Lepisosteus oculatus: one gene and its partners. The protein of the gene in region 2 interacts with the protein of the main gene of each other region in a pairwise test. Links are inferred from orthologs where the notes say so. Each region holds a gene or a part of one and is shown on either strand. Other genes may lie near its edges. The genes, in order: rnf144b, ubiquitin-conjugating enzyme E2 U and trim32.

The links.
Region 1: the proteins of ubiquitin-conjugating enzyme E2 U (region 2) and rnf144b interact in a two-hybrid assay, tested with the Homo sapiens proteins (2 studies listed by BioGRID and IntAct). The link is inferred for Lepisosteus oculatus from reciprocal best matches to the Homo sapiens genes UBE2U and RNF144B.
Region 3: the proteins of ubiquitin-conjugating enzyme E2 U (region 2) and trim32 interact in binary tests that used the Homo sapiens proteins (3 or more experiments, as listed by UniProt). The link is inferred for Lepisosteus oculatus from reciprocal best matches to the Homo sapiens genes UBE2U and TRIM32.

Annotation. Positions count from the first base shown.
Region 1 is NC_090705.1:10,624,193-10,631,658, forward strand, and holds the start of rnf144b (E3 ubiquitin-protein ligase RNF144B), read right to left. Parts: upstream 3,110-7,466; 5' UTR 2,941-3,109; intron 1-2,940. Other genes in the region: telethonin, read left to right, coding at 4,954-5,090, 6,389-6,785.
Region 2 is NC_090704.1:14,113,307-14,120,552, forward strand, and holds the start of ubiquitin-conjugating enzyme E2 U, read right to left. Parts: upstream 3,013-7,246; 5' UTR 2,960-3,012; intron 2,547-2,959; 5' UTR 2,541-2,546; coding exon 2,475-2,540; intron 1,467-2,474; coding exon 1,385-1,466; intron 1,066-1,384; coding exon 973-1,065; intron 871-972; coding exon 773-870; intron 1-772. Other genes in the region: inactive tyrosine-protein kinase transmembrane receptor ROR1, read right to left, coding at 5,577-7,004. UniProt on the Homo sapiens protein: Catalyzes the covalent attachment of ubiquitin to other proteins.
Region 3 is NC_090719.1:11,226,108-11,233,454, forward strand, and holds the start of trim32 (E3 ubiquitin-protein ligase TRIM32), read right to left. Parts: upstream 3,018-7,347; 5' UTR 2,512-3,017; intron 982-2,511; 5' UTR 962-981; coding exon 1-961. UniProt on the Homo sapiens protein: E3 ubiquitin ligase that plays a role in various biological processes including neural stem cell differentiation, innate immunity, inflammatory resonse and autophagy.

The DNA of each region.
Region 1 (7,466 bases), on a different chromosome or scaffold from region 2:
TCACAGGGCAGACAGACACGCAGACGATCACACCAGGGACACCAGTTTTCCCAGAAGCCAAATGACCTAGCAGCATGTGTCTGGACTGTGAGGAGCTGGAGGAAACCCACTCTTGAGCTAACTGAAAGGTGAATGGGCCATTGCCTGGACATTTCACAGTGCTGCACATTTACAACACCCCCTTCACACAATAACAAATGCAGAAGTAATGTAATTACTTGATTACATAGAAGTATGACCCACACTTTCTAAAACTAATATTTAAAGCAGAAAGTCAGTAAACAGTTTTCCCCACAGCTCAGGAAAAAAGAGGTTGCTCAATTGCTTGGGCAAAAGCAAAGCAACAGAGTCCAGCTATTTTCCCCACAATTTATAAAATGCATCATGTAAAAGTGAATGAATAAAAATTAATTAATGCTTTTCCCAGTATCCTGATGAAATCGGCAATGCTGAAGCAAAGTACACATTTCACACAGAGCAGCAGTTCTCTTCTTCCGCAGTCTGTTGCCCTTATCCGAGAGAGAACTGAGAATGCATTTTGAAAATAAAAGGCAAGGCGCCTACTGTACGTGCAAATCATTTCAGCAGCTTTTGAGCCACTGTTATGACTGCTGCTTTAGGAGGAATCAAAAACACTCAATACAGCTGTACCTCAGAGCTACAGTGGTGCCATGACCAAATCAAGTACTGTCAGACAAATCATTAGCAAGGGAAATGTAGATTATGCAACCACCAGAGCTGTCTAACAGAACATCGAGACATCAGATGCCACAGTAGGGTTTCAAATGACTAGAGGCCATATTTCCCATCTTGCAGTTTGGTGCAAATCTGAAGCCTTCTGCTGTATATATTCTGCTGGATGTTACAGTAACTGCCAGGAATAAAAGGTTCAACTGAAATTAGTGTAGAGATTTTAGTCAGGGATGTACAATGAAAAATGTGCAAACTGCTCAGATTTGCTTGTGAATAACAAGGTGCTAGCAATCAGCTATCTGAGAGTGCGCTGGGATTGTCCTCAGTTCAAAGAGCAGAGGAGCTGGTATAAAGCCCTGCAATGAGCCTACTTTGCTCTGCCTCAAGCTGTCAACTGGTGTTTTGAAGAAATCAGATGCCTGTTTCTTAGGGATTCATCTGAAGTCCAGTTAGATGATGCTTGCTCACTTCATTGTCACCTGTCAAGCTTAGGAGGTCCCACAAGGCTCAAGCCTGGGCCATGCTCATCTTTTCCCCAGTGCATCTTCTGGGACACAAGACTTCTATTTCTGGTGTTAATTACAAGCGCTCTGTGGGGTGTGCTGAGGGGAATGGAGACACAGAGTCTGGGTATGTTTTCCTGGATGTGTACAAAGTGTTTCTGTTTCAGAGCCCCACAGCTCTGAGCCAGCCTAAAGGAAGACAGCCTATGTGTTGACTTGCAGTGATTTTGTTTGGTTTCGATTTTATTTTAAAAAGTGTTTCGGGTGTTTTCATAAGCATTAGTATTACTAGAAAATAATAAGATCTAGCAAAATGTTATTATTGCATCTCCATAAAATAGTTATGTACATCTGATTACAGTATTTACTGTATTTCAAATAGGGTGTTCAGCTCCCAGATTCTATTCTTGTAAGTATTCTTGTGTAATTAACTTTTGTATTTTCTTAAATCACTTATTTTCATTTTGCTTTTCCAAAGTAAGAGAATGAGCTTTTTTCCTAGGAAAACATAGAATAGGAAATAACTGTCTTCAGGGAACCAACAGAAAATGAATGGGATCAGAAAACACAAGAAGTAAAAGAAATATAGTCACTAATATATATCTGCTTGTATGAAGAGTTACTCGCATCTACGGAAGAAAAAGTTTGAAACCTCTGACATGGTTATTAGCACTATTACTTTCTTGCTTTGTGAAAACAGCCTTGATTATGTGTCCCGCTTATTAAACATGCACCACTTTTGAAGGACTTTTATAAGTTACTGAAATCATTAGGACGGGCTGTTCTTGTTGGACACCATTCAGAGTGGATTCACTGCCAAAGCTTGGCTTACTCATGTTCTGCTTCACTGCTGCAAAATGTAATGAAACCATATCCAGGGCAGGAGACAGCTTACCCATTCTCCGCGGGGAGTACTGATGTGTTTGCACGGAAAAGTGAATATGGCAAAATGCCTGAAGCATTAGATTGCATTTGTCAAGCAGTGGCACAGGTGGCACAGTGACAGGGTATATATCAAAAGTCTTAAATTCAAATTAATACAGTGACTAGATTATCAGTCTGCTATGGACCCATACACTGCAACCAAGCTGAATTTACAGCTGGCTGGTTGAGATTGATAAACTTGCCAAACTGCAGCCTATTCTTGGCAGACCAAAGCTAAAAGGTGGTGTCACAGACCATGGACCACATCAATTTCAGCTCTGTGCTTGGCTCTAGAAAGTATAGCCACTCATTCAAAACACCCAGACCTATTTACTTGCAACTGATCTCTGTAATCCTTTTGTACTAACACACTTCTGCTTTAAAAGGTAAAGCCCATACCTGGGCCTACAGGCGTAGATTATTCCAGTTTTTGTAGCATTAAGCAGGCAGTATTCAATTCACGCCTTCATGGTCCGTGACGGAGTTACCCCGTGCAATACTGTTTAACCAAATACACAGCGGGATGGACTGATTAACTGGGGGTAAATCACTGGAATCAGTGTCTATGTGGGAACCCAACACTTCTATTTAAGAATCCAGAGACCTAACACAGCCCTTCACAACCCGGTCACCACAGTATAACTGGTTTTGTAAACAGGTCACTGCATACAGTAAGTAAAAGGGCACAGATAGGATTCTAAGATTCCTTTGACAGGCTCTAGGTGAGAAAAGTCTGTTACCGTAAAACTAAAAGGAACACTCCTTTCTTTTAAAACTGGTTCATAACATTCTTTTCAACAAGAAAAATGTCCTTTCTTACTTCAGGAATGAAGATTGGCTTTCAGTCTGATGAACAGTCCCCCAGAATGGCCGTCGCTGTGTGTAACATATCTTCCACATCACATTATTCACTGGTCAGGAAAAAAGAGGTTGTTAAAAGCTTCAGCAATTGACAGGGTGTCCATTTCAGAAGCTCTGTTGATTTGGCCTTGACTGTCTGTAATATGACACCCAAGTGTGTTGAATGATGCAAAAGAATTTCCTGGCCTGACATTGCATTCTTTGGCCTTAAAGAGATACATTTGTAATCTCTCTTTACTACTCAATCAAGCTCTTCCTTTGTGTGTACTGTAGTCTGTTACACATGATTCCCCCCCACCCCAAACACCTAATGTTGCATCTTAATTTTTAAATTTCATACTAAGAAAGCAAAACATATGCAAGGCCTTCTTAAAGCTGACTTTAACAAAAAAAAACATGGTGGTGAGTATTTTAAGTGTTGCTCAGATGCCCGTTCTTGAAGTAATGCAGTTAAATGTATTTTTAAAAAGTCTTTAATTGTTTGAAATTGGACTGACAAAGGATTTGCTTTTGCATTTTTTCAGGAGCACCTTAGGAAATAAAGCTTAAAAGTATTAATATTGTAATATTTTGAATATTTAGAGAGTCTCCTGTTCGGAATGATTTGTTAAATTTATTTAGCATACAGTGGGAGAATTATAGAAATCTCTTGACCGCAATTAGACTTATCCTGGCAATATAGCACATATTGTGTTTCTTTTTTGTCTTTTTTAGATACTGTAGACCACTTCTTAGAAGATTTTCATGTTAGTTTTTCACACGTGAAAATAGAGTAGCTGACAAAACCAATAGACACTTCTCTTCAAATTCTTCATCTGCTTAACCCTCATTCTGGCTCCAGCCTTTCTGTCTATTAAAGGTCTTAAAGGAGCATATGTATACAAAAATGAATAAGGAAACCATAATTGTAATTGTACAGTTGTAACCTTTTTGTCCTGGAATAGCCAGCCCAGTCAAAGGCATTATCAGCTTTGAATAACAGGAACAGAAAAAATGCAGAGTACAAAACCATAGACAAGGGTATTTTGATCATCAGGTTAAAATGAAATAAGATCATTCAGTGGGAAAATGCTGCCCAACTCCCACTCGTATTCAAACCCCTTAATTGGTTTATCTCGTGCTTATCTGGTTACGGATTTTTCACTTACCACAAAAACTTGGCCAATTAATTCTGGTGTGCTATCCATTCCTCACTCAAAACTTTGAGAACATCCATTCGTTCTCTTGCTGTTCTCAAATATTGTAATGTTCTCTCATCGTGGACAAAGGTCTATTTTTATACACCAGCTTTTCCTTCTGTTTGATCTGAATAGTGTGGCTGCATTTAGTAAACTTGGTTTATGTTTTCTTTTCATCTGTACACCTTGTAACATACATCATCTTACACCAAAGATTGTGGGTGTCTGAAACAAGTAACAGCCATACTGTTGAAGCCAGTACCCTTGCATATTTCAGGATATGCCAGGATGAGATCCACAAATCAATTAGCTACCAGCAACCAAATGAGCTAAATGGGCTCGATGATCTTTCTTCCAGTCCTACAAAAGGATTATGTTTGTTACACCTTCATGACCAATGTTGTAGTAGATACAAGCACAGAAAATATGCCTACACTTTTCCTTCATTGTTTACCATTAACATTTCTGAAATATTTAAAGCTGTGTTCAGTGGCAGTAAATAAAAAGGCATCATGTGTCAGTCAGTGGCACACGTGACCTCTGGCCTCTTCTGTGTAATGAATATCATTACATGGATGTGGGATTAGTCAGTCTCTTTTCCCACTGGTCACACAAGATATTTTGGCACCTGACATGATGAACACATTTGCAGTGATGCACTGCAACTAAAATAGAGACCAAACATTATTTAAGAGGCCCGTGACCGTGCCGAGAAAACTGTCATTTAACAGAAGCAAACACGCAGCCTGCATAAAACAGTTATCCATAACATCTGAGAAGCCTGCTTTCCCAACATGCCTTCCCATGCTGCAAAGGATATCCCTTATCTCTTCAACGCCTATTGTGATGTGAAGGAAGACAATGTCAGGAAGAAGGAATTTTATCAATCAACATGGCTGGACCTGGATATGGAAACAAGACCTCAGGAAAAGTATGTACCAGACCTAACCCTAGCCAAAAAGGTTTAATATGTAATGAGTAGAAAATATGTGTATCAGGGTACCTGGGGAGCTCTTTTGTGTTTGCATATTATCGTGACCTTAAAGTTTGTATTTTGTTACAAAAGAAGCTTTTTTAAAACCTGATTAAGAACTGTTAGGAACTGTGAGTGAAATAAAGAACAGAGAGATGGGTGATAATGATGATGGTGACACAGACAAAAAAAACAATGAATCCCAACTTGTTTGTAAGACAGTTCTAAGTTAAAATAAGAAAAGAAAATTGGAGTTATGTATCAGATCGCTAACATCAAAGCTGAAATGATCTGCAGTTGAAAAATGCTGTTTCCTTTGGATAGTTGTTTTTTTTACATAGCTCATATAGTTGTTCAGAGCCTTGTACAGTAACAGTGCTACACACTCACACTCCAGCTCGTACTGTAAGCTTACATATATCCTGCTAACTTAACAACCTTAGACCACCACAGGAATCGCAATCAGTATGTCATTGGGCGGAGCAGTGGCTCTGTGGCTAAGGATCTGTGCCTGTGGCTGGAAGGTTGCCGGTTCAAATCCCACAGCCGGCAGAGGAATCCTACTCCGTTGGGCCCCTGAGCTAGGCCCTTAACCCTAACTGCTCCAGGGGCGCCGTACAATGGCTGACCCTGCGCTCTGACTTCAAGCTTCTCTCCCGGTCTGTGTCTCATGGAGAACAAGCTGGGGTATGTGAAAAGATTAATTCCTAAAGCAAGAAATTGTATAGGGCTAATAAAGAAACATTATCATTATTATTATCATTTTCAGGACTTCAATGTAACATTTGTATTTCACCCATAACCCCTAAATTCAATACATTTTGCCCATAACAGGCTCAAACAAGGACTGCATGATGGCGCAGTGGTTAACAATGTTGCCTTGCAGTGCTGGGGCCCTGGGTTCGATTCTGGACCTGGGGTGCTATCTGCATGGAGTTTGTATGTTCTCCCCATTTGCAGCGGTTTTTGCTGGGTGCTCTAGTTTCCTCCCGCAGTCCAAACACATACTGGTAGGTTGATTGGTTTCTGGGGAAAACGAAATTCCTGGTGTCAGTGTGTGTGCAGCCTGTGATGGACTGGAATCCTGTCCAGGGTGTATCCTGCCTTACTCCCGTTGCTTGCTGGGATAGGCTCCAGCTCCTCAGTGACCCTATAGTGGATGGAGCGGTTTCGAAAATGGATGGATGAGCTCAAATAAAACAAGCTAATTTTTTTTTTTTACGTGCTTCTAACAAACTGTTGTAACCCACTCTCAGGACAACGCTGTTCGAGCAAAACACTTCGCGAAAGGAGAGCTATGAGAAGAAGCAAGTGGCTCATTTTCTGGTGCAGAGATCCCCCAACCAGAAGATAAAGTTGGGCATACTGGGGGAGAAAATGAAGGAATACCAGCTTCCCTACAAGAACGTCCTCCCTGTTCCCATGTTTGTGCCCAGCAAGGCTAAGAAAGAGCACCACCGCACTCCAACCCCAGAAGAACTCAAAGCCATCATGGAGTTCGAGAAGGCGTTGTCGAGCGGCCTCAGTACCAAACGAAGAGAGATTTCTGAGATTAAGAAAGACATGCCCAAAATGATCCAGCCTACGCAGTTAGACTTTAGAGCCTCAAATCTAATTTCTCCTCAAAATGTGCAGGCTGTGCAGAGAAGCTAAGGGTTTAACTGTAAAAATAAAACACTAAAATAAACTTTCACCCTGGAGTCATGGAGGTAAAGGATAAAAGGGTTAAAAAGCACGTGCTAGTGAGATGTATTGATTCTGTAGATCTTAGCGAACATGTTTACAAGAGTAGTTCAAGTAGGGAGCTGCGTCAGCATGCGTAGGCTGCAAAGGAACAAGTAAAGGTTTATTTCATGCTGAAAAGAGAAGAAAGGAATCACTCTTTGGGTGTGAGCCGAAGTGCTCACACCCGAAACGTTGTTTCCTTTCTTTTCTTTTCAGCATGGAATAAAAGTTTACAAGAGTGCATTTACATGACAAACATATTCTCTAACTTAACTCAGTTGTATAATGTTTCTGCTTACATAACTGTCGCAGTATAAATAGATTCGGAAAATATTTCTCAAAGCTCCTTGCAGTGCTGCGACACTCACTTGTAACATTAACTTGTACATTTCCACCACAATTCACATTTTTGCATCGGGAAATGTGTTTAAAAGCTTTTACTTCTGGGTGAACTAAAGAGCAAAATAACAACATAAAGTAGATAAAAACACAAACTCACACGATAAGAACACGGACACAACAGAGAACAGAACTCATTCTAATAATATCTAGTGTATAATGTCTTAACATGTCTTAATGTCTTAACATGGGACAAAAAATGTGATCATG
Region 2 (7,246 bases):
TTACAATTATGGTTTAATTAAGTAATGTGAGAAGATTTAGGGGTGATTGTGGGTCCCCTTTCTTTGCCACTCAATTCCTTTTTTTTTATATGGGCGGTGCAGTGGCCCTGTGGCTGGAAGGTTGCTGGTTCGTAGCCCACGGCCGGCAGAGGAATCCTACTCCGTTGTGCCCCTGCGCAAGGCCCTTAACCCCAACTGCTCCAGGGGCACCGTATAAATGGCTGACCCTGCGCTCTGACCCCAAGCTTCTCTCCCTGTCCGTGTGTTTCATGGAGAGCAAGTTGGGGTATGTGAAAAGTCAAATTCCTAATACAAGAAATTGAATATGGCCAATAAAGTGATCTTATCTTAAGTAAGTGGAAGTCTTAAGGGAAGTAATTGGGAGGCACTGCTTAAGCCTCTCCAAGGGAATCATGAGGACATGAAGATCTTCAAACAGATGAGGATTTCTGAAACATGGAGCAACAGGTCAAACAGCATAAATGGCCCAACATTTAAAATCAGCTCTCTTTCTTTCTGGTTTTACTAGTGATGCGTAACAGGGTTAAATGACAGTTACACAAGTCTGTAGGTTTTCATTCCAGGTGAATTATTTATTGGCTAAACTACAACAGGTTGACAGCTTTTCATCGCCTTTGATTTCAGAGTAGCCTCCACACTACAGGACTTGAGTTGAGCACCTCTTGATTAAATGGTTCAAGGTATTATGCAAATGCAAGTTAGAAAAATGCTCTCTTTGTGGCTTTGTTGCAACTGTTAATATATTACATACCTGAACTGCAAGCAAAATGCTGGTGAGTGAAAATCTTGAGTCCCACTCGTCTTTATTATCCAGGAAGCTAATGCATGGCCGGCCAGTGTCCTTGTTCACTTTTCATGAGAAAGTAACAGGCATTTTTATATAGGTAAAAAAACACCTCTCCTGGCCCCAAAAGAAAAAAAGCACAGCAGTAAAATAGGTTTGTTGCATACCGTTGGGATGGAATGGGATAGTGCTGAATCTCACCACAGGTGGGACAGTGTTGTAGTCTTCGCTGTACTGTATGGACAGCTGGATTGTGCCACCTTGTGTTGCAAAAATGTTTTCCATTAATAAATGTTTTCAACAATATTAAAGTACGATAGTCACATTGAAGTATGTTTTTTTTTTTCTTTCATAGCTTGATTTTTCATCACACTTGCCACACTTAATTTTAATCTATGCCAGGGCATTTTTATGCATTAGTATTTTAATGTTTGTAGACAAAGTATTAATATCACACTATAACTAAACATCTCCTGCATTCTCAAGGCTTGCTGTTTTAATGATATCCTGAATTTTGCTCAAAGTAAAAACTACAGATTCTGCCATATAATACAAAAGTGAAGTTGCACTGTACCTCACCTTCCCATAGAGAATCCTTGAGCCCCCTTACTTTAGCTACCCATTCAAGCAAGTTGTCATTGACTGGTTCTGCTACTATGCCCTGCATTAAACACACATAATGCACATCCTTTAATGAAATGGCTAACTTGACCCAAAACAGACCAGAACAGAATATTTTTTTTTCCATTTGTCAAGTGGTCTACAGAACATTTTTATTCATAAACCTATAAACGAACAGAAAAGGGATAGGTAAAAATCAGTTTGAGATAAATTAGGGCAATATCAAACCACTTTATTAACCTAACCATGGGCAACCTAATGGCACACAGACGATATCATAAAATTCACATCAGGTATCACTGAATATTCTTAATTCACAAACATCAGCTCATGAACAATGAACAATGGAGTTTAGAACGCTGATTCACACCTAATGACTCAATAATCTGGTTATCCTTCAATTAGCAATTCAATTTCCCTGTCCTGCATTTTGCCGAAAGAGAGATTAAATACAGTAGCTCAAATCAGTTTCTTTTTACAATATCAATCGTAGTGGTGTGTCGACATTGTCCCTCTGTGTGTGTGTGTGCGCTCAAGGTTTGGAGGAGTTACCTTAACCCTTATTTAGGAATATGCGGCTATGTGGCAACTTCATGGAACTTTAATTTATGCAAACGCTCCAGACACAGGTAATGTAGGAGGGGGGTTTCCCATTCATTAGTTCTCCTTAATGCTTTACATTGCATTTACATTACTGTTGAGACTGAGACGACCAGCATGGAAGCTTCTTTTTAGTTCAGTGGCCGTGAATTAATTTTGTACGGGAGTAAATCTGGAGCCACATCTAATTTAGAAAGAACATAGCACAATGGGTGGAAACAAGACGACATCTGATTTCCAGGCAAATCTCCGAAACCTTAAGGTTTGAGGTGAACTAACAGAAATCCAACCCGACCTCAAAAGGAAATAGATCTAAGGAACTATTAAGTGATCTGCACTTTCCCTTCCCTTTTTAAAACTGTAATATAAAAACTACATTCACACGTATATTTTAACCTTCGTTGAATAAACAATGCAAGTCAGGACAAGTAAGAGAAATACTACTTACAAAAAGATTGGCTTTCTGCTGCTCAAGATATTCTCTCTCCAACAGTAAATAAGATCTGGAGTGCATGTCACCCTGAGTTCATAAAGGTATATATTAAATTAGGTATAATATAGATTAAAAAAGCGAAGTTACAAAGCTACAAAAAACCAAAGCCATATCGCAGTTTTATCTCTGTATATACTGTATATGCACATATAAATATATTGTACAAGACAATTAAAAAGGATTTAAAATAAAATAAAAACGTTTTTCCACTTAATATCGTAATTTCACGATATATATCTCTGTATATAATATGATATAATAGGCACAACAACGTATTGTAACTGTATTTAGGTTGATACCACATGGTGTTTGTAAAATCATATTTTTCCAAATTCGATTTATGCCAAGACATCACAAAGACCATGCCAAGAAAAAACAACCGCTGAAAAAAAATGACTGAGTTGGGAATGTCTTTTACAGCTTTCGTTAAAACTACTTACCTTTTCTGTTCCTGATAAAGGAATGACGTCGTGTTTGCGACGACCTGTTGTCAAGCAACAAGCAGCCACTAAAGGAGTTATTTGCTACCATCTAGTGGACAGAAGATGAAAAATAAAAAAATCCTCCCCCTTATTGTTATCATGTATTGCAATTTAACATACCTTATTAAAAAACAAATAAACTAAATATTACAGATTAAAATATTGTGGTTAAAATGTAGTATGTGATCTAAGTAAAAATAGAAATTATGGGTGGAACTGTGGCACGATGGTTAGCCCTGGTGTTTTCTGGTTCTCTTTCACAGTCCAAAGACATCCTGGTAAGATAACTGACCTCTGGGGAAAATTGTCCCTGGTGTGAGTGTGTGTATGTTTGTGTCTGTTTGTCTGCCCTGCACCCGTTGCTTGCCGTGACCCTGAATGGGATAAAGCCATTAGAAAATGGATGGATGTCTGTATGCATCACATAGTAACCCAGTGCACCTCACATGTATGAATGGACCCACTTCCTCCACTGGAGTACAGCACCCAGTTCATGAATGGTAACCATTATGACACCATGTGGAGAAATGAGAAATTATAGAATTAACTGTGACTCACACCTAAAGAAGGCTCAACAGCAGAAAAAAAATATTAAAATATATGAAGTTTTTCTTCTGTCAGCTTTTCAGCACGAAATGAAACTTTATTTTTTCCTTCACAGCCAATGCATGCTGACACAGCTGCATTCAAACCTCTACAGATATTTTCATGCTCGTGTGTTTTGGGGTGGCAAAATATCTGTATGGCACCTTCTTCAATCCTGTAATATTTCTATGTGCATAAACATGACCCCTCTATATGCACTACAATCAACTTCTCACCTGAAGTGTGTACTGCAATAAATTTCTCACCTGAGAAATGACAATGATCGATATGATCTGGAAGCCTGCAAACAGTATTAATGGCCAAAAATAACAGGAAAAACACAACAGCGATGTTATTTATTTATTTTTTTGCCGTACAAAAAAAATTGTGCAAAGATCTCACAAATACAAAAAAGGCCTCTTGTTCAATACAATCTGGATGTTGTAAACCTTTTTGTAAGTATCAGCAAACTGAATTCTATAAGATACTACAAAAGACTGTTTCTAAAAATACAGTATAATTAAAACATTTTGCAAAGGCACAAAACATCTGGCACTAGATTCACAGTCTTCTGTTAAAAGTGGTTTTAACTGGAGTACATTTCTATTAAAAAGCAGAGGATACCTGTATAAAACTGCAGATACCTAGGTAGGTAAAAACTGTTTTCAAAAACTTCAAAGAGAAGAATTTCTAACAAACTGGATCGACTGCCCTGGACTTTTTAAACATGTTTTATCCCATTGAAGTAACTTGTAATCACTGTAAAAAAACAAATCCCAGAGACAGCTTGTTGACCACAGCAGGTTTTTAATGTTCTTTTCTTCAGTTTAATATTGTACCCTGATGAACTGCACTGTACAAGTGATTGTCTTCTATACAAATGGATTTTGGGTGTTTTTTGTGTTAAATAGTTGCATAGCAACAAATATATTCAAAGAATGAAATACAGCTGCTTATGTAAATCCTTTGAAAATAAACGTATAAAGGATTTAACCTAAATATAGTTCAATACTTCAGCAATCTCCCTGTATTCTGCTTAAGGCAATACAGCTATTGACAAAGAACATTCATTATATTATAGACTATGAAATTCTAATGAATCACACTTTTTATACAGAACTGTTAGACCCACTTTTCTTCATTAACAGTAATCATTAAGCACCAATTGAAAGACAAGACTGCCAGTATTATGCCTATATGTTGCATAGCTGAGAAAAAGAGGCTGGTAGTGAAAGAAAGAGAGGAATAGCTTATTGACATAACAGTTATGAGGACTTTACCTCATTAAGGTAAAGGTAAAGATTTAAAACAAAATCATTACGTTGGTGTGTTTCCCGCAACACAACAATATGTGTTCCAGAATTTGCGTAGATTTTGTTAAATATGTGAACCGCCACTTCCAGTAAAATGGTCTGTGAGCTGACTATTCAAATCTCAAGATTAGAAAAGGCACTGGAATCTCTATTGGATCAATATTAGTGATCAAAATTGTTTTCTCTTGTATGCTTTTTGGCAACAACCTTGCAGTTGTCTTTTAAGAATTCCTGCAACAGTTGCAACAGTGAAAATGTGTGAAATATACAAATTGATGCAGAAAGAATAACAGGAATTTGATCAGGTGACACAAAAAGACCTAACAGTAAGACCAGTGGTACTGGGGAAATACCACTATGATTTTCTAGTTAGTTTTTCACAACGAAATCGCTTTTAAAGATGTGAAACTGTGAAACGTTTAGGCTGTAACAGCTGATAGTCTTGTTCAGGAGACAGTTTCAAGCAAAAAGCTAGCACCTGGTGTTGTTTATTCACAGCGAAACTGTGAAGGGCGCTGGTGATGTCTGCGAGGACACTATTAGACAGGCTTTATGAAAAAAAAAAGTCTTTCATTATAAAACATTTCTGAATATAAATCTTTACATGTCATTCAGGTTTATATATTTACACATGAAAGTTAAAATAATAATACGAATTAAAAAAATAAAGAGACTGTTTACAGATCTGCAGTAATTACAGATTCGCTGTACATGTGTCTATTTGAGTCCGATAACAAAGTAGCCTGCGTAGGGTCTATTGGCATAGGCTTTTGATTCATGTGTCCAAATACAGGCACAGCAGCCCCACTAGGGAGATTGGAAAGGGTCATACAGTGGGCCAGCAAGGGCGTGTTTGCGTCATGATTGGACCCTGTGGAGGGCACGCTTGTCACATGACCCGTGCTGGTGGAGCCACTGGCGCTGCTGGGGGAACGGCTCTTGGGGGGTGGACAATGCTGGATAACCCGCGGTGGGCCCTGGGGCTGGAAATGGGCAGCGGGAAAGGCGGCATAGCCAGTTGGAATGGGGTACCCGTTTACCGGGATGAATCTCTGATTCTGAGGCATCTGGGCCGTCATGAATCCTGCAATCTGACCCTGTGGTATCCCCTGCGGAATGTGAATGTAGTTGGCGTAGCGGGGATTGCTGAGGTTGCTCACTGGGCTGGCGCTCAGGGAGGTGGTCTGCGTTGTGGCGTTTCCACCGGAGGGCGTGGTGGAGCTGGCGTGGCTGGAGATGCCCTCCCAGGTTCTCATCCGGGTGTGGATGTCCTTGAACCGTGGCCTCCTTGAGGGGTTCTCCTGCCAGCATTCTGTCATCAGGCCATACATCCTGGGGGGGCAGTCCTCTGGGCAGGGTAGCAGCTGCCGTTTCCTCACCATCTCGATCACTTCCTGGTTGCTGAAGCCATAATAGGGCTGCAGGCCAAAGCTGAATATCTCCCACAGAACGACACCGAAGGACCAAATGTCCGAGTCCGTGGAAAACTTCCCATACACAATGGCCTCCGGTGGCATCCACCGGATGGGCAAGAGAGACTTGGGCTGGACTCTGTAATAATCCGAGGCATAGATTTCCCGTGACAGGCCAAGGTCGGAGATCTTGACTTGGAGCTGCTCCCCGACCAGGATGTTGCGAGCGGCCAGGTCTTTGTGGACAAAGAAGTGGCTGGCCAGGTACTCCATGCCTGCCGCGATCTGGATGGCCACGTGCAGGAAGTCCCCGTGGTCTAGGCTGGACCTGACAGTGCCGTCTTCGTCGCTGCTGCAGCCCACGTCCGAGTGGGGGGAACGCATGATGAGGAACTCGTGCAGGTCGCCCTGGTTCAAGAACTCAAAGAGCATGCAAATGGGCTGCTCCTGCGTCACCACACCCAGGAGGCACACCATGTTGTGGTGGTGAAGCTCTGACATGAGGGAAGCCTCCTGCTGGAACTCGCCCCACAGCTGGGGGTTGGAATAGTCCTTCAGGGTCTTAATGGCGACCAGCTGGGCGTGGTCCATACCGGGTAGGTAGAGGTGTCCCTTGTAGATCTTCCCAAAGGTACACTCGCCAAGCTCCTCCATGAAGCGTACGGCTGACAGGGGCAACTCCTTGGCTTTGCTCTAAAGGAAGAGAGAGAAGAACAGAGCGGTGTGACCAGCGAGCACAGAAACAAACACAGATACCACTTATCATAATAATACTAATAATAATAATTCTTATTATTATACAGCTATCACTGCTTCCATTTTGGAAATAAAATTTTTTTTTAGCTGCAGGATTTGTAATGAAAAGCATACGTAAAAGGAGAGACAATACAGCAAACTGAAAATCTGAAATAATGGTGTACAGAATATGCATTTAT
Region 3 (7,347 bases), on a different chromosome or scaffold from region 2:
CCATGTCGACGTCACGGTACACATCCAGCGACAGCGCAGCTATGTCATGGGAGCCTTCGTCTGTGTCGACGGTACACTGCTTGCTCACCACCTGCCCCACGTCCAGAGGCTCCGAACGTTCGACCTTCGCCAGCTCCGGATCCTGCAGCTTCAAAAGCGCGGGCAGGTTGCTTTTCAAGTCCAGCTCCTCGTCGTCGCCGGCCTCCTCCAGCAGAGCGATGTCAGCCTGCTTGATCTTCATCGTGAGATAGTCGCAGCGGGACACCACCTGGACCTCGGCGATGTTCAGCAGGTAGGTGTGCTCCTCCAGGATCTGGGTGTTGAGCTTTTCGATTTCGCTCAGCGAGGAGGCGAAGGCCTTACGGGACTTCGTCAGCTCCTCCTGGAGCCTGAGCTCCGCTTTGGCGTACTCCTGCTGCACGGCCTTGTATTTCAGCCGCAGGGACTTCGAGATGCCGTCGATCATGGCCTTTTTCTTCTGGATATTCCCCATCGTCTCCCGCAAGATGGCGAGCTTGGCGCCCACCTCTTTCCTCCGCTGCTCTGCAGCTGAGCGGACAGTCAGGACTATGTGCCCTTGGTGCTGGTGCCCTTCTGCTTTACAGGCATCGCAGAGCACCAGGCCGCAGTCCTTGCAGTACTGCCTGGGCAGCCGGTTCTTGCAGCCTTTGCACATCAGGCTGGTCGCCGAGCCGGAGCTGGCGCAGTCGATGATTTTCAGCACGGTCAAGTTGTCCGCCAGCTGGGAGATGCTGCTCATGCGGGAGACTTTGCTGCAGAAGGGGCAGCGCACCCCGTTGATGGTGCTCGCCAGCAGCTTCTCCAGGCAGAGCCTGCAAACCGTGTGGCCGCACTGCAGGAGTTTGGGGCGCAGCTGCTCCCGGTTGAAGGTCTCCAGGCAGATGGGGCACTCCAAGACCTCTCTCACCACGTCTGGGTCCAAAGTGGCAGCCGAGGCCATGATCCTGTAGCCAATTCCACCTGGCGAGGAGAGGAGCAAATGAGATAAAGCATAATTTCCCCGTCTGTGATCTGATGGAACTCAATAATAAATGCACTGCACTGTGGAATAAATCGTCCTGTTTTGGTAATGCATTTGTATCTTTTAAACTTGGAAGGAGACTACGATGCACTTCTGTATAATGAACTGATGCGTTTTGTAATGTTCCTAAGAGTAGCATTAAGCATGGTTTACACAAGAGGAGGCCCATTTTGCTTGTTTCGTTTTTCTGTAGCTAAATTATCCAAAGATTTCCTACAGCCTTTTCTTGCAAAAGAAAAAACCAGATTGTTTGCTTGAGCAGCTTGTTCCACATTCCCACATCCCTTTGTAAAAAGAATGATTCCCCATTCTGTCTTAAACGCACCTGCACATACAATAGCTCCCCGCTCATAGCCTCTGTAGATTCTGAAGAAACCTGCAAGGTTGATTCTGCTCTGCCTTCGCAGATTTTAAATACTTAAATCAACCACTATTCAAAATGAGATGGGTAAATTCAGGCTCAAAGAACTGACTTACATTGTAAAAATCGCTCTCAAGCCCCATACTTTCTCAGCTTTTTTAAAATTCCAAAGTACCTAGTGCTCATGCAAAGTGGAGACTGCAGGAATGATAGCAACTACCAACAACTAAACGGGCTACATGTACCGAATTGCCTCCTCCTTCATATCCTTTCTTATGTTTCGTACCTTGGTCCAGACCAGTCTGTATTTGCGCGGTGCGACTACTGCAGTGGACAGCACTTTAATCAAAAGGCCGTAAACCTGAATACTTCAGACTCTTCTAGGCTGGACTGCAGCTATATTAGCAAGAGGGTAGGGGCTTAGTCTAGTGACTGTCTGCACCACCCTGACTGCCTGCAGTGCCCCTTTAAATTACGCTGCTGAAAAATGCCAACCAGAATGATTTTGTGATAATGAGGGTACAGCGACTGCACCAACGAAAAAGCATATCAATGGCTATATCAGTTAAATGTCTTTAAAGAAAGACGCAATAGGCGGGATGAATCGCTCAAAAGCTGCGGATATTTTAAGCAATTCTGGAGCATTCCGTTTTAAAGTATATTAACGTCTAATATTGTCATTTAAGAAGAGGATTTAGGGATAGTGCACGGATTTGTAGAAAGGGGTAGTCGCAAGCAAAAAAAAAACCAAAACAAAGTAAGATAAATACGAAACCAAAGGTGTTGATGGTGCAAATAAAACCATGACGTCCACTAGCGACAAAACAGCAATTCTAGTGCAAACAGCGGCGAATCCACGCCGGTGTTAATTTACCGATAAACTAGCGAGGTATTTGCATGAAACGATGTTTCGACTTAATCGTACAGTAACTGGGATCGTGTGCCTTCTGTGCCAAGAAGCAGTAAGCGACACCTTGCTTAGGAGGCCTCTGACGGCAGTATCATCTTTACAGCACAGAAAGCACACATACCCCGGCTGCTTCCGCAAAGCGGGTTGCATTAACGAAATGGAGATGCTACACAGCTGGGGAGCTGGTTGTGCTCTTACCTGCACTTTCCGTGCCAATGTCAGATCCCCAGGCCGAAAACCCCGCTCCCGGTTGTGCCAGGCAAGACTGCGGCTCGGGCTGTGACGTCTCCTGAAACTTTATTCCCTCCTTCAGAGGTATTTCATTGGCCTCTCCGTACGCAGTGCGACCCGTTTCTCAAGACGATTGGCGGCGTCAAGCATCAATGAAGCAGGAGAGAGCAATTGTCAACAGCAGTCACAGTGCGACTTCCTGGGATTTGAAGTTCCTTGTGAGGAATTCCTCGGGTCCCAGACTTTCTGTTTTTCCCCCACACCGAGAATTTACTTGACACTGCTTTTAGATGTTTCATATATAAATATGTCCAGAGCACATCCTTCGGTTGTCTGTTTTTTTTTTGTTCTAGCTGAGTTCTCGATTACTTACCTTAAATTCACAAGGGACATTTTCCAGTGTCAGACCGTTCTCGACCTCTTCCAGCTCGTAAACAGGTGCAGCTGGTTCAGGTTGGTGTTTAAGTAACTTGTAGCTCAGCTGGAAAAGGAAAACAAAAGAGAGAGTTTCAGAGTTTTGCAAGTCTTTTTTTCTTGATGAGGTGACGACTTAACGTATTCATTGTATTTGCATTAGTACAGAATAACGCTTTTCATCCCAAAGAATCCTGAAATACTTCATAGGTAGGATGAGACCGATTTTATTCACCACTGAAGTGCAGCAACCACCTGGCTCATTTGTGCTACATTCTGCAGTCCCACAAAAAAAAAAAAATACAAATGGATCTTATAGGTGTTCAAAATCCCCAAAGGCGTTAACAAACTCAACCCGGTGGACTTTTCAGAACGAACGGTGAAAAACCGAGAAGTAAAATACGTACTGTAGCATGTAAGTGTATTTCCGAGGATAGGAAGCACTTTCTTACCCAACGGGTTGAACTGTAGGAACACAGAATGGCCTCCCCCCAGCTGTAATTAATTAAATTAAGGAAAACCTCAGACAGAAGGTCCAGAGTGGAATTTAGCCATGACACCTGTTTTGTTTGTGGGAAGAGTTTGAGGACAGACTCGACGCAACGAATGACAGGACACACACGTACAGGTATTCTGAAGGTAAATGCATGGGTTTAAGAGAAAAGTAATTCGTCCGTTGAAGGAAATTAAGCAATGGTGGGAAGCCAATGATATGCAGTGAGCCTTTTACATAATGCTGTAACACATCAGATTCCCTTTGGAATAAAAAAAAAATGGACGAAATATTGCCCTTCGCGATTTGTCTTTAATCTGTATCATTGACATTTTGAGGTTGCCCCGTGTATTTTGAATTCAAAGTACAGTACGTTTTTAGGTATTTTAAAGCCAATATAACGTGTTGTCACTAGATGGCGGTAGGAGCACATATTTTGGTAGCATACAGTCTTGCAGCCGTAATAAGAGATTGAGATATTAGCGTCTGTTGGAACGAATTGATAGGAGTACTTAACATAGCAAATCGCGGATTTGTAGCTTTTTAGACATAACGGCAAGCTGTACAATTGTAATGTGGGACCTATTGGTAGTATACACATTTTTGCATTGATTTGTATGCGTGTTAAAAGGAATTATTTAGTGTATTTGCCTTGTTTTTGTGGAACTGGTGCGTTTTGAGCACGTGATTGTATTGTATTCAGTCATCAAACTGATCATTCCCATGTAGCAGTGTGTACTTTCAGGTTATAATACAAGATTTATGTCTAATGAAGTTGAAAAAATGCTTTGGGTTAGGTGACAAAGGCTGTGTATGGGATTTGTTGTCCATTGGTGTAGATCCTGCTCATGAATTCCTCATGAGAATTACTGAATACCATATCATCCAGATGAGTTCATCTGAGCGAAAACAGTGTATTTAAAATGACAGCATGTGTAGCTTCTGAGTAACGCAGCCAGTAAAATGTACTAAAAAAAGTACCATATCAAATTAAATGTATTATTAATCTTTATTATAAAAATGACTGCTTAGATTGCATCCTGAGACCTACAGTCCAGACATCTTTAGTTCTAGTCCAGTATACTCGATTAGCTGACTGTAACAGCTCTGTTAACTTGACACCACCGCAAACAGCACAAATAATGATGGTTTGCTGGTCAGTGCCATTGAAAGTAGCAGCATTTGTGCTGCTTTTCCCCCCGAGATATAGTGCCTTATTTCTTCGGGGTTGTGACACTTGCACAATCTGTGACCTGTAGGGGGCCCGGGAGATTGCAGAGGAGTCTGTGAGAGCTGCGTCTCTCCTTCAGTCTTGCCAGATGCCCTTTAGAAGAAGCATGGGCTCCTGAGCATGAATAAGCCAGGATAGCTGTGGAAAGGGCATTTATCAGTCATAAGCAGATGGTGCCCAATTCAATGCTGGCACAAGCTTTATTGGGGAGAAACAGGGCTTGGTTTAATTGGAGGTTTATGTAAAAACAAAAACATGCTCAATATTTATTGAAATTATTGAAAATAATAAAATCCCATTCCCTTTTAACTTGACCTTACCAAATATCTCGCTTATCAGTTTACTCATTTTCCTTGTAGGGTATCTGGCTTGTGTTTACCCCAGCCAGTGCTAGGCTACACTTACCATACACGTCGGGATTATAGCTAACTGATTACAATCTGTGTTCTGCGTTTTTTACTTTGCTTTTTCTCTCTTTCACAGAAAGTTGTGCTGGTCAGCATGTGTGAGTAGCCTATAGAGTAGAGTAGTGAATCCCTGCTTCTCGATTGGTGGAGAGGATTCAAAAACATCCTGAAGTTTATGCTCCAGCTGAAATGTTTTAATGTTTCAGACAAATTAAGTTATGAAATTAGACAGACTTTCTGAAATTGACCTACTTGGCTTTGTTGGATTTGCTGGGCTGTAACCCAGACAAATATCCTACTCCTTGGTCATTATCTTTTTTTTCAATAATCTGTTTGCCCTGGAGTTAATGGATCATTGCATACAGTCCTACTGTTTTGGTAAAATTCAGCTGGACTGTGCCCTCAGAGGTCAACAGCTGTGAAAATAGGAAAAATTTTTTTTCATACCAAGAGTTACTATTAGGAAATAAAGCTGTTTCAGTTGAATTATGAATATTACTGTACCTCATTCTGTTTGATTCACATTAAATGCCACTTTTTAAAATGGAAAATGAAAGAGTATTCTCAAAGAAAAGTACAAACTGTATGCTAAATGAAATGTAATCCCATTTATAAGGTACTCAAAACTCTTTCAGGGCTAACAGAAACTTTGGAGGTGGGCGAGCAGTATTTCTATATGCGTCATTTGAAAGTGAAAGCAGAAATGTAGAGGGCATCGTCAAGGGCAAAACACAATTTTGGCGACCACTGATTCCGAGCACATTCCAGAGTTGCAAAATGAGGTTTACTACAGACTGTAGACGTCAAGAGTCATTTATAAAGACCTAATGGGATTTCCTACTTGGATTTACATTTCAGATATTAACAGAAAAAAAAATCTTTCTGGTAAAAATTATACAAAATTATGAATCTCCAAAATGTATAGATACACCAAGAATAACATATAGTATATAAAGGAAGAGAGATATTATAAAGGTCTTTCTATCTGTATGCTTTTCAAGATGGGTTTACAGCTAGACCTTGCTAGAAAGATACAATATGCATAGTTTGGTCAATATTAGCTAAGTAATCCAAAGATCTCATCCAGCCTCTTCTTTAAAGAAGCCAAGGTATTAGATTTGACAGAATTACTGGGTAGTTTATTCTGTACTACTACAACAATGTTTGTGCAAAAGTACATCCCCATAGTTTCTAATGTTTTCCCTTTGGTTCATATTTTTACTGTTGAAGAAGCCCAAAGTGTTGACTTTGTCAGTGTTTTTGAGGATTTTGAAGCGTTCAGATGAATCCACTTGTGTCCTTTGTCCATCCGAAACTGAAAAAAAAAAGTTTTTAGCATATCAGAAGAGGGCATTCCTTATTGCTCTCTTCGAGCCTGAGAATGTAACCGGTCTCTCTTCTATACTGTATACTTATTCCAGAGCAGCAAGATTATTTTGGTAACATAGTGATCAATATTGTGCAATTTTTAACATAATTGAACTTTAAATTCTACACTTTCTATATATAATTATATTATATATCCTAACATTATGTTTCCCATTTGTATTGCCCACATTATCTAAAAAATGAAACTGAAGTGTCAACATACAGTAGATACATTAGTCTTTTTCTCAAGCAGAAGAGCTAGTTCTACCCCAGGTACATTTTTTTAAATTATTTTAGACAAAAGTGAAGGTTTTAAAAAATCCCTTAAAAGCACCTGCCCCTACACCTCTCTACCCCTCCCAAAACAGTGCCTACTGCAGAAGAAACATTGAAACGATGTTTAGTACTAAATATCTCGTGTCATTCTTGGTCAAACATTACATTTTGGATTTATTTCAGCTATGTGGGAGCCTCATTCCCAAGCAAATGGATATTGGATTTAATTTTTGTTACAAGCAGGAATAATGAAGAAAACTTATGAAATATGAGGGTTTTCTGGATGAAGCCATTTATTTTTATTGCTTCCATATTTAGAACAGAACATCGTGTTTTTCCGTCAGGCTCAGGCTAGCACTATGTAAGAACCTCCGATGCAAGTTTCATTTCAGATGCCTTTTAATATGCTCCATTTCAAAAAGATCAGAGTTTCCCTTTTAGTCCTGATAAGCCTTGACTCAACACTGAAGCATTCCCACACAACTTAACCTGAGCTTTTCTGAGCTATTTTGCAAAATGTGGTTTCTGCCAAATGTTTTGATTATATCATCAGAACTTTTGCATCAAAACTCTGGTCACTGCTTAAGCTGGCCAAGGTTAAGAGATAAAGTTGA